Linked DNA regions of Arabidopsis thaliana. The protein of the gene in region 1 interacts with the protein of each later gene in a pairwise test. Each region holds a gene or a part of one and is shown on either strand. Other genes may lie near its edges.

Region 1 (6,650 bases):
TTTAGTAATGACAACTATTTTCTGTTTGTCCTATATTTTTTTATTTTATTTTCTGATCAAACATGCATCCTGTATATCTAAAATGTCAGAAAACTCAAGTGTCGTAATCACAAATCTTAGCAATGATTTTTCATATAAAAAATGTTACAAAAATCAATTATTAATTTATAATATTAGTGGGACCATATTTTTATATAAGATTTTTTAAAAAAATTATTATCTTATTATTTTATCGATTTTAGTTAATTTTTATATTTGTCCGATCTGGAACTAGCAAAATTTATTAATTTTTCTTGTTTATTAATTTATAAAATTTATACTGTATTCCTATCAATAACGATGAGTGCTACAAATGTGTGAAATGCGATTCAGATCTTCACAAAGTATTTGCTAGCCTTCCTTGCAAAAAATATTTACTGCACAACTATAAACTCATTCTACAACTTCTGTGAGCTAATCATATCCTATTACGAATGATCAATATAACTTTTACGACTAAGTAATCATTTCTATAGCTTTTTATGGTGAACGATTTTGTCGACGACTTTATAACTGTCAGTTCTATATGTACCACAAAGATTAACAATAGATGGTTCTACATGCTGATGGTAGACAATTTTACTCTTTTGAAAAATGAACCATAATGAACGTTAATTTTTGTCTTAATCTATTGACAAACGTAAAAGCATCCTCAACGGTGAGGCTCTCTGAAATGATCATTGGATTAATAGAAAATATTAATTTTATGATTTTCTTATTTAATTAAATTTATAATAATTAATTGAATTCCATCAATAGATCAAAACATGGTGAATCATCAAGAGACTCAAACATCCATCCTTTCACTGGACCTGCTTTTGCAACAAATACACCTCGTCTGGTTGAAATTGGTGAATCATCAAGGCAAAGTGAGAATACAGTGTCTGAGCACTTGATGGAAAAAGGGGATTCATCTAAGAGAAAGAATATGGCTGGTCCTAGGAATGAAGAAACTGTTAGGCAACACAAGCATCAAGATAAAGATCAAATGATAGGAGGTATTCTGAAACCTCCTAAAAAACGTTAACACTCTGCTAATTCTGTCAAAGTTTTTGTTTAGGCTGCAATGGAGGCAGCTTAAGGCGTATTGGTTTTTTGATTTAGGCTGCTTTGGTAACTAGTTTAGTTCGGCAGCTGTTGCTTTGAATAACTATGCGGATATGGTCATGTATTAATTTCTGGTTATGGCATATCTGCTATAGTTTCGTTTGCTTTGAGTTCAAGTGGAGACAGCAGCTCCTGGGTTGCAGAACGATGAGGATAGGGTCATTTTAAGACTTTTTGGTAATGACTTATCTGTTGTTGGTTCTGTTTAAACATGGAGTTCTTGTTGTTTTAGTTTCAATTCCATGTTGTAGTTTTCTGAATGTTGTCTTATGCTGTAGTGGAAGTTCCACTTTGTAACTTTTACAAAACTGGTTTGAATAAAAGGCAACTTATGAGAAAAAAAAAAAAAGATCAAAACATGTGGTAAGTGAAGTCTTAAAAAGTAAAGACACGGCTCTTAAACGAGAGGTTTAAAGTCGGTTGTTTCACGAGTGGGTCTCTCTCCATTTTTTTTTTTATTGTTTCAATTTTTCGAATTTGTGTGAGAGTTTTCTGTTGGAAATGGTCTGAGACATTTTTTTATTATTATTTTATTAATAAAATAGATAAATGACCATAAATAAAAATAAGAAAAAAATATTTGGATTGAATCAGCTTTTGTATATCTCTAACTAAGCTAAGTAGACTTTTTGTTTGACTTTGGCTTCTTAAAAAGTTTATATCTCATCATCCCGAAAATTTTATAGAACCAAAAGATGCTCACGAGTTGTAATCCTGATCCCATTGCCTGTAAAAAATAAGTCCACATATCATTAAAGTATCATATTCAAATTGAAAATTATGATATACTGAGAGATTAATCGACATAATATATATACTTTAGATGATAAAATCTATATTTTGGTTTGGAGAACAATACTTTTGTGTTACAAAAAAATTCACATATTAACAAAACAAATGGAGAAATTGATGAAATCAAAATATGTAACTAATGTAAAACCAAAGCAAAATTAACATATTATAAAATATGAAGATATCTTGTTGACGAAAATAATATAAACACAATTTCTTGGTAGTTGGGAAAGATGAATGAATAAATAAATACCTTGATGAAGATGGGATTATCAGCTGATAGACTGACGTAAACGAGGAAAGGTCCACACACAATTCTCGCCAATGTGAATATAGTGGCAAAACACACCTATCAATATCATCAGTTAATATAAAGCATGTCGGTGCTTAAGTTTTTAGAAGCTTCCTTCATACAATAAAATAGATTTAACTTTGACTTAATGAAATATTATAAATAAATCTAGAGAAGTAGATTTGGGTTTTACAGGAAGACCTAAACTAATAAATCTTCAACGTCAATTTTTTTTCTTTTTCTTTAATAAAGTGTGAAATTTATAGATCGAAAGATAGGTCTATGTACAAGGTAAAATGTCATAATCTAAAACAGGTATCTAAGCTATTAGAAGCAAAAACAGAACATAACTTAGGGATAATGCAGGTGTGACCATCTCTCCATTAAACAAAACGTCAAAAAAATTTAACAATTGCAATTGAAAGTTGCCATTCAATGGAATTAAAACCATAACGACCATAGACTTTTTTTTTCTTCATATCCAACGGTGGTCCCGGTTTTATACTATCCAACTACATAATAAGTATAGCCGTCATCGAACTAGTGACCTAGTGTAGACAGTTTAAGTCAAAAATACTCGATGATTGTGCATTATTCCATTTTCTAAAAGAATATACAATCGTTCTGTTTGCATTTAACTAGGAGTTGATGATGGAGTAAAGACTACATTAACATGTTTTAATATCTATCCATTTAAAACTTGTTTAGATCACACAAAAAGATGATATATGTATACTCACATCGGCAGCTAGATTGAGTTTGGTGTCTTTGTATCCAATCTCTTTGAGAATCTCCCTAAGGTGGAAAAAAGGACTTGATATCTCTGCTACCCACAGTGTAGCCACGATCTCAGATCCAGACTTCGAAACAATAAATGATACCAAAACTTAGTAACCACAAACTCTCATATATCTTCTAATAGTAATCATTGATTTCGAGACAAAAACAATAAAAATACCTTTTGGTATGCAAGTCCAGCTATAAAACCAAGAATGCTAACGAAATGATGAACCGCGTTATCAATGCTAAACACTTGATCGAAATGACAACATATTAGATCGTAGATCATGTACGACAACGAAAACGCCATCACGTCCATCTGTTGTGTGTTTTGTTTTATCACCAGTTTGGTTACAATGTGCAAAAAGAGTGATTATATATAGTTAAGTGAAGTGATGATGTGATTAATAAGAACCTGTTTATGAGATGGCTTAGAAGCAAGGGGACAAACAGGGCAAGACAAATCTTGAACAGAGAGTGTTGCTAAAGTGACAGCGATAGTCGCGTGAGCCGTGGAGAGAAGACGGTTGCTGAAGCTGAATGAGTAGCTTGAGAAGATTCTCCGGGTGAGAATGAAGGCCACACCCCATGAGATGACTCCAAATACTATTATCTTAATTGCTCTTACTTGTTCTTCCTCCATATGATCACTTGATCTCCTTTTTTCGCAAGCCAAGGCAAAATTTTGTTGTGATGACAAGAGAGATGGAGAGGAATAAAAACATTTCAGTGATGTTAGTAGACCGACATTATTGGTGGTATGTTAGTTGGGAATTTTGGGATTCAATGGTGTGGATCCCATACACATTAATGTTTCTGTTAAAAATTGACCTATAAAGATTTGATCCAAAGATTTTGGAATTATTTCGTCTAGCTCTAATCACCCAAGTTATTTCCTTTAAATGGTGATCATTTTTTTTGTTTCTTAGAGTATCTTAAGTTTTGTCCGAAAAAAAGAAAAAGAAAAAAGTATCGTAAGCAAGAAAAAGAAAAAAGTACCGTAAGCAGTAGACATTATGGGACGATTGGTAAGGGTGACTGTAAAGACTTTAACTTTAAAAATAGTAACTGTAGAAAGTTTGGCTGCAGAGACTTTGAATTTTAAAATCTGATCGGTAACAAAAGCTTTAAAAACTGTTACTGTTATTTATTTATATTTATTACTATTAAATATAAATGATATCAAAATTTAATTATGTTGTAACATAGTGACAAAACAAATATTTTATTAATAGTAAAAAAAATTAAAATACAAAATTTCTTAAATAAATATTCATAACAAACAAAATGCAAATCTATTACTCATTCATTTAAAATTTTAATAACCAAAATTTGCATTAAGAAGTGGGATAAAGTGAGAAAAATTATGGAGCTTCAGGATTATTATGATAAATGTTGTTTTGCTTCGTCAAATTATCCAAACGATTTTTCCCTTGTTTCGAACATAAATTACTTCCAAAATTATTATTAGTATTCTGAAGAATTCTTTCTTTTTGAATAGCACTTAAACCTTTTTTTGTTATTATTCAAATTTTAAATGACCAACATGAACCTTATATTGTTTTTGAAAAATGTTAATTATGTAAACTCTCTTACACTTACATTAATGTTGATGATGAAAATAAAATAATTATTAGTAAAACAGATCTTAAAAGAAAGAGAAAAAACTAATAATAATTAATTTAAGAAAAATGATTTGTGAAAAAAATAAATATAAACTTGTGGAGATTTTTAAATTATCATGGGGAAAAGAAAAAAGAAAGTTTTTAATTTTATTTTGTTTGAAAGCCATGTATTCCAGACTTTACAAAAAAGAAAAGAAAATAAAGAACATACAAAAAACTTAAGGCTATAAGAACTCATTGAAAAACTAAAGTAAAAAAAGCATGATTGGCAAAAATAAAACTTTGAAGACTTTAGAATACTCTCAAACCCTTGAAAGTTCTTGCCAATCACTCCTATGTGTTTATTACATATGGAGTGTGTAAAGAGACTAACGACCAACAACTAACGACCTCAAGACAAAAGCACTGCATATATGTCTTTTCTATAAAATAAGTTGAGGTCAACTAACTGTATTTTTATAAAAGTCGCTATAAGAAATTTGAATTTGTTTTTTTAGGTCGACGGAATTTACTTACTTCCAATTAGATTCTCAATCAAAAGCGGTTTAGAAATATTAAAAATTGACTATACAGTTATTCAAAATATCAAGTTATATTCGTTTTATCTTGTCGTATTGATCCACAACAAACCAAATAATATATTGGGTGAATTAAATTTCACTGCTCAGACGAATGCGAAATTAGGAAAGTATGAGTGATGATTTCATATTTAGTTCTCTCTCCTCCCGACAACAAATTCTGACATATTTGCCCCTACTCAGCAGAGATATTGTTGGATACGTAATGATTGTGCAACATTTAATGCCCCTGAAAAAATTATTGCTAATGTTTCTTACATGGAAATATATCCTTAACATAACTTCAACCCAAGTTGTTAGTGGGTAAGACATGTATATGAATTAGTATAAAAAGAATAATGATACAGTTTAGGATGAACTAAATGTGGCAATAATGTAACCGCTACAGAGCAGTTGGAGTCGCCGAAGCAGGACACAAGTATGAAGATAATTAGGTTAGTCGATAATAAGTTATTTGATATGGTATCATAGATTATATTAGAAGATAGTTGATAGAAGATAAGAATAAATAAGACTATGCCCAATAGTAGAAGACGATAACCAGATAGCAGATAATAAAGTTAATATAGTTGTAGGGCTTCACCACTCGTAATGAAATGTTGAGTTATTACACGTGTAGTGAGAGTACCGCAAAAATTCGTATACGGTAATAAAGTATCCGATAATAAATCCGTTAGGGGTTAAAACTTCAACACGCGCAATAAAATGTCGAGATATTACACAAAGTAAAACAATATGAAATGTCGAGATAATGAGATAGCAGATATTAGAGTTAATATATTCATAATAGAGTTAATATATTCACCGCTCGCAACACGTGAGACGAATTCTGAACCGCAAAAATTCGTGTACGGTAATAAATTATCTGATAACAAACCAATTAGGAGTTAAAACTTCAAAACATGCAATGAAATGTCGAGATAACGAGATAGCAAATAATAGAGTTTATATAGATATAGGTCCTCTCGCAATGAAATGTCGACTTATTACACGTAGGGAGAGTAAATAAAATGTAGAATTCTGAAGCGCAATGTCGGTAATAAAGTATCTGATAATAAATCCGTTAGAGGTTAAAACTTCAACACGCGCAATAAAGTGTCGAGATATTACACAGAGTGAAACAATATAAAATGTCGAGATAACGAGATAGCAGATAATAGAGTTAATATATTCATAACAGAGTTAATATATTCACTACTCGCAACACGTGAGACGAATTTTGAACAGTAAAAACTCGTGTACGGTAATAAATTATCCGATAACAAACCAATTAGGATGAAAGAGACGAAGAAAAAATATGAGGTAAATATAGATTGGACCGAAACGACGCCTCGATTGAAAACTATCAAAATAATATAAAATTTTGATTCACCCACCAAAATATCCAAAACAAGATCTTCTACTATTCACCTGACACAGAGAAATATAAAAGCTACG
Region 2 (6,601 bases), on another chromosome or scaffold:
TGGAACTCTAGGGTTTTATTCGATCTGTTTCTGAGATTCAAAATGCGGATTTGAGTAGAGATTTAATGAAAATTGATCGGAATATTGCAGGAAGAGCTGGTGTTCCTATGGAAGTCATGGGATTGATGCTTGGAGAGTTTGTGGATGAATACACTGTTAGGGTTGTGGATGTTTTTGCGATGCCTCAGAGTGGTACTGGTGTTAGTGTTGAAGCTGTTGATCATGTTTTCCAGACTAATATGCTCGACATGCTTAAACAGACCGGAAGGTAACTAGTTCTTCTCTAAACCTATTTACTACGCTTAAGTGAGGTTTCCTATTTAGGTTTTGGATCTGATTCTTCTTGTATCTTGTTTCAGACCTGAGATGGTGGTTGGTTGGTATCATTCACATCCTGGATTCGGCTGCTGGCTTTCTGGGGTTGACATTAATACTCAACAGGTAGAGTTTTGTTTGCTCTGTTTGCATACTTATCAATTTGTGAATTGCACTTGAGAATTTGTTGTTTGCTTTATTGATGGCTCAAAAAACTAAATAGAATGTTACTCATTGTGTTCTATACCCTGTTGTGATTCACTTTGTATTATATATGTTCATTGTGAATATCTGTGTGCTTTTGTAGAGTTTTGAAGCTTTGAATCAGCGAGCTGTAGCAGTGGTGGTAGATCCGATTCAGAGTGTGAAAGGAAAGGTGGTGATTGATGCGTTCCGCTCCATAAATCCACAGACCATTATGCTTGGGCAGGAACCCCGTCAAACAACATCGAACCTTGGGCACTTGAACAAACCATCGATCCAGGTGATTATCACTAACTGAATGTGTCCTGTTTTTAAGTTGAAACGAAATCAAAGGTTTTCTCTGATACTGACTTTTGGATACTACTATGCAGGCTTTGATTCACGGGTTGAACAGACACTATTACTCAATAGCAATCAACTATAGGAAGAACGAGCTTGAGGAGAAGATGTTACTCAACCTCCACAAGAAGAAATGGACAGATGGTCTGACGCTAAGACGCTTTGACACCCACTCCAAGACCAACGAACAGACGGTCCAGGTAAAGAAACACAGGGTTATGTTTTTATCTGTTCAAGCATATTCTACAATCATGTTCATTGACATTTTCATTATCTCCTGTTTAACAGGAGATGTTGAGCTTGGCTGCTAAATATAACAAGGCGGTTCAAGAGGAGGACGAGTTGTCACCAGAGAAGCTGGCAATTGTGAATGTGGGAAGACAAGATGCAAAGAAGCATCTGGAAGAACATGTCTCGAACCTCATGTCATCCAACATTGTTCAGACACTAGGCACTATGCTCGACACTGTTGTCTTCTAGAGAGCTTACTTCTCCAGCCGCTTCAAGTCATTGAGCTTTGTTCTTCTGCATCTCTTTGGCTTCTACTGAATGTTCTCTTTTTATCTGCTAGCTTTTTACAAGGTTGTACTGTACTATGTGATTTCGTTCGTTAAGGGCAGGGATCGATTTCTATTTCTTTGCATATTATTTTCAGATTTTATTTTCCTCCCATTTTTAGATTTTATGCTGCAACTTTCAAGTTAAGTGCTTTTGATAAGAATATGCAATTTCCCTCCTGGATTAAGTCTTTAGCGTAACCATGACAATGAAACTAAAACAAGTGAAGTTAACATCTTAATTTTGTAGCAAACAGCAATAACATCCAAATCTACGTTAAGTTCCACAGCAAATATACAAAAAACTGTGCTAGGATTTGTGAAGACGTGAACTTGATGTAAAGAGGCAATTATAAGCCATAAAGGGCATGGCACGTTACCGGTGCATCAAACAAGTCCTGCTTTGAACACATTTGGAGGAGATTGACCAATCGTTCAGCCAGAGCATCAAGGTTTTGGAACAAGAAATCTTTGACCTGATGTGTGTAAACTGTAGCTTAAAACTCGGTGTCAAAACAAGTCATGAAGATCTTTGAGACCATGGTTCTTGCAAAAGGGATGTAGCTCAAGCTATACCTGCAGTTTTAAAGAACACAAGGGATTCATTCTCCAAGATGAATGTTGACAGCTTTTGTGACAAACTCAGAAACCGTATAAGGAGCATTAGGTCCACTCGGGATAATATACTATTCGAAGAGTATATATCATGTAATTGTATTACTAAGAAAGTTAGGATAAAAATGTAAGAGCTTGAAAGCAAGTTTTAGCATACCAAATTAGACCAGTGAACTCAAGAATGATAGCCAGCAGTGTCAGAAGCTTGTTGCGAACCTGTACAGAAAGATGATGACAGATTATATTTAGTCCAACAAGGCATTTTCACTACCTAGTTTTAACTGAACATAAGCAATGTTGTGCATCCAGTATTTTGAATTGAGAAACCCCACTTACATAAAGAGCACAAAACAAGGCAATGATAATGCTTGCTAGATACAATGCAGTAGCGTAGATACGAGCTGGGTCAAGCATCATAGTCACCTGCCGCTGTGGGCCTATAAGGAATGCTGTGCTGCCATACAAAAGTGACATGAAACTTAAAATCCAGGAACAAAGAGAGAAAAATGGAGAAATACTGTACACACAGAATTGCGACACCAATGCAATATAACAAGAAGCTACACAAAATTCCAATACGAACCTCCCGAGTGCCATCAAATTTCCCAGAGTGAATGTGATGCCAAACTTGACCGGATTAAAGAAAACAAGCATCGACTGCATCGTCAAACAAATAAGAGATAAAGAGTTATATCACCAGTAAAAGAGCTAAGACAACCCAAAGTACAGAAGAAGAATACAGCTAAACCAATCAAATGATTCCTTTCAATGCAGAAATAAGGATAGTGCTTTCTAACATTGCTAAGACTTGAGAGTTATACTTACCAAAAGTGTACAGGTCAAACCTGCTGACAAGCAAATTGCAAAGCCATAAAATCTCTGTTTTCATAAACAAAAAAAACGAGATATTAGCCAAAGACAAACCCAATTCAAGATAATTTAACAGATTCTTGTAAACGAGACAACACTACAGGTTCATAGAGGAGCTAAATCCAAGTAGCGTCCTAATTTTTTGTAGTAGCAAGCCAAAACTTAGTCCTATTAATCAAACTGTTATCATACCACATGGAATTTTATAATCCTTCTCCTCCAAAAAATCATAGAACTGCTAAACACTTATCTCAAAATCTCTTGTATGTTATTGATCACATCATATGCATTCAATAGGAACTCATTTACATTTCTACCTCAGTGAGCTTACGAGCCTAACTTCTCTAATTGGACGAATACCTAGTCCGCATGTGAAATTACAAAAATTACCAAATTCAGAGGACTTGATCGAAGAATCTGGGGAAGTTAAGAACCTGTTTGGTAGTTAAAGCGCAATTGCGATTAAGATCTTCCATGAATGAGAGCGAGCTTTCTTCATCAGCAGCTTGTTGCTCGTCTTCAACCTCCATACCAACCAACATCTTCATCTTCTCAATAGCCTGATTCATTTTATCCATCTCTGTAAGTCCTCTTTCTGTAGTCTAAGCTCTTTCTTCCTAGTTCTAGTGATCAGATCTCACGCTTCTTCTTCTCAAATTGTGACAGTAGAACTGAAGTATGGTTGGATCTTCTCTGCAAAATTACGCAATGTGTGAGACTGAAAAATGAAAGAGACACTTTTCTTCGTAGGAGGAGAAAAGAAGAAAAGGCTTTAGTTGTTGGGCTTATTTTAAATTAAAATAAACTTAGCCCAATTGTTGGATCCATTAAGGTTTTATTTTCTTATTTTAAAAATTTACACATCCATTAAGGTTTTAATTAAGGCCCTTTAATTAATGAGTGGTTGACAAAAATAATATGTCAAAAATATCTTGAACTTTCAAAAAATGCCAACAATCCTCAACTTTGCTTCTAATTCGCTATTTTTGTTGATTTTTTTATTTTATTTTACTCACTTAATTTTTGTTGACTTCCCATTTTAATAGCTATTTTTTTTGTTGATTTTATCAGATATAACATATTATTTTGTTTCTTTTCTTTATATCATACAACTATATGCAATTGATATATGTAAAAAAATAACTAGATTTTTTTCTATAAATATAAGATTAACTAAAACTGAAAGAAAATATATATTATGTTTAAACTAGGTATAGATATTTTAGGAAATTAACAATTAATCGAAAAATATAAGAGAGAATTAATGATATAAATCGTTTTGTTAATTTCTTCTAATAATTTTTTGAAATCTTAAGAATTTAAGACAATAACATTCTATTGTAAATAAGTGTCAAATCCATGATTTATTTCAAAAATATCTACTAAAATGTGTATATAGATAACAACTCCTCACACAAATAATTTGTAACATAGTATTTTTTTTTCTTGTTTCCTATATTTAAGTTGGTCAATTACTTGTGATTTATTTTTTTAGTAAATAATCTCGTGGTTTGTTTTCTAAAAATGTTTTAATCAAAAATATAAAACGTAACTGCCAATCACACAAATGATACGTAACACATTTTGTTTCGTTTATTCTATATAGGTTGGTCAATTATTTTGTGATTTGCTTTTAGTAAATAATCTTGTGATTGTTTTCTATATAAACATTTCAATCATATCTTTAAAACAATAATTTTTTTCGCTTAAATGATATATAACATATTATTTTTTCTATATACATATATAATACAAGAAAAGAATTTAATTATATTTCTCTATTATATAAAATTTTGTCAATTACATAGTATGTAACTTTTATAGTACATAATATTATGATTATTTTGAGTTTTATAAGTTATATATAACCTTAATACAATAATTTCAGTATGGTTCCATTGTAAACATTTTCAAAAAATGTAAACCTAACAAAATATAAGTAAAAATTATATATCTACTTTTTGTGCATTTTTAATAAGGTGAAAGTTATATTAAATACAAAAATAGCAAGACATGTTTACGTTGACAAACAAACAAAAATTAAGCAAGTCATGTTCGTAGCAATAAATTAATAGTGGGAACAATTAAGTTAAGCGAAAAAGGAAAAAAAAAGGTACAAAAATGAAAACAAAATCAAACTGAATGAAAATTTGGAGTCCAGAATCGGAAAAACGAGGCCGTTTTAGAGCTTAATAAGCTTCCTCATTTGTCTCTTCTTCGTCAGTTTATTTTCTTCCTCCGGAGTCCTGACTCACTACTCTCACTCTCCGGCGCTTTAAACTTACGTTCTCCGTCGTTTACTCTGTAAGTTTTCTGCCTTAGAGCCTCCGATCGCCTCACCGCATGCATTCTGTGCTCGATTTCTCTTTTTCTTCGCTGGAAAAATTGCCCTAATGTTCTCGATTTCGAAGGTTTTTGTGCTATGGGTTACTTTTTTCCCTATATTTTATAGTTCTTAGGTAACGATACCTGCGTCTTACTGTTTTTGTTCATTTTGTTGTGCTTTCACCGTTTAGTCGCTGATCGGAGTATTTGACTGTGAAAAATCCTTCGTTTTTTGGTTTTTGTTTCATATAAATCGGATTGATCTACCTTTTGTGCTTTGATGTTTGTTTTTTGAGCCTATGCGTTGTTGGCTTGTTATAACTTCACGTTCATGTGTGGATTTTGAGATTTTGGTAGTGACTGTGGGTTTCTTTGGTGGCTATAGGTTGTAAAAATGAGTTCTAGGGCTGGTCCAATGTCTAAGGAAAAGAACGTTCAGGGTGGTTATAGGCCTGAGGTTGAACAGTTGGTTCAAGGTTTGGCAGGGACGAGACTGGCTTCTTCACAAGATGATGGAGGAGAGTGGGAGGTCATTTCCAAGAAGAACAAGAACAAACCAGGAAACACTTCTGGAAAAACTTGGGTTTCTCAGAATTCGAATCCTCCTAGAGCTTGGGGTGGTCAGCAGCAAGGGAGAGGTAGCAACGTATCTGGGAGAGGAAACAATGTATCCGGGAGAGGTAACGGCAATGGTCGGGGCATTCAAGCTAACATATCTGGTCGGGGACGAGCGTTGAGCAGAAAGTATGATAACAACTTTGTGGCACCCCCACCTGTATCTCGCCCTCCTTTGGAAGGAGGATGGAATTGGCAGGCAAGAGGAGGTTCTGCTCAGCACACAGCTGTGCAGGAGTTTCCTGACGTGGAGGATGATGTGGATAATGCTTCTGAGGAAGAGAATGATTCCGATGCTTTGGATGATTCTGATGACGACCTTGCAAGTGATGATTATGACTCGGATGTGAGTCAAAAGAGCCATGGATCACGAAAGCAGAATAAGTGGTTCAAAAAGTTCTTTGGCAGCTTGGATAGCTTGTCGATCGAGCAGATAAATGAACCACAGAGGCAGTGGCATTGTCCAGCTTGTCAGAACGGACCTGGTGCCATCGATTGGTATAACCTGCACCCTCTACTAGCTCATGCGAGGACAAAAGGAGCTAGGCGAGTTAAGCTCCATAGAGAATTGGCTGAAGTTTTAGAAAAGGATCTACAGATGAGAGGCGCATCTGTCATTCCTTGTGGTGAGATTTATGGGCAGTGGAAGGGTTTGGGTGAGGATGAAAAGGATTATGAAATTGTCTGGCCTCCAATGGTCATCATCATGAATACTAGACTGGATAAGGACGATAACGATAAGGTGGAATTCTTCTGTCTTT

What was found.
Region 2: the proteins of AT1G45010 (region 1) and AT5G23550 interact in a protein complementation assay, tested with the Arabidopsis thaliana proteins (one large-scale study listed by BioGRID).

What each region holds. Positions count from the first base shown.
Region 1 is NC_003070.9:17,011,751-17,018,400, forward strand, and holds AT1G45010 (TRAM, LAG1 and CLN8 (TLC) lipid-sensing domain containing protein), read right to left. Parts: upstream 3,771-6,650; 5' UTR 3,654-3,770; coding exon 3,426-3,653; exon of another isoform or gene 3,330-3,425; coding exon 3,189-3,329; intron 3,091-3,188; coding exon 2,971-3,090; coding exon of another isoform or gene 2,935-2,970; exon of another isoform or gene 2,288-2,934; coding exon 2,192-2,287; coding exon of another isoform or gene 2,105-2,191; exon of another isoform or gene 1,874-2,104; coding exon 1,763-1,873; 3' UTR 1,635-1,762; downstream 1-1,634.
Region 2 is NC_003076.8:7,938,002-7,944,602, forward strand, and holds AT5G23550 (Got1/Sft2-like vescicle transport protein family), read right to left. Parts: upstream 3,677-6,601; 5' UTR 3,479-3,676; coding exon 3,335-3,478; intron 2,910-3,334; coding exon 2,856-2,909; intron 2,688-2,855; coding exon 2,614-2,687; intron 2,485-2,613; coding exon 2,367-2,484; intron 2,247-2,366; coding exon 2,188-2,246; intron 1,992-2,187; coding exon 1,913-1,991; 3' UTR 1,596-1,912; downstream 1-1,595. Other genes in the region: AT5G23540 (Mov34/MPN/PAD-1 family protein), read left to right, coding at 91-268, 360-441, 623-799, 891-1,058, 1,147-1,338; SGS3 (XS domain-containing protein / XS zinc finger domain-containing protein-like protein), read left to right, coding at 5,620-6,582.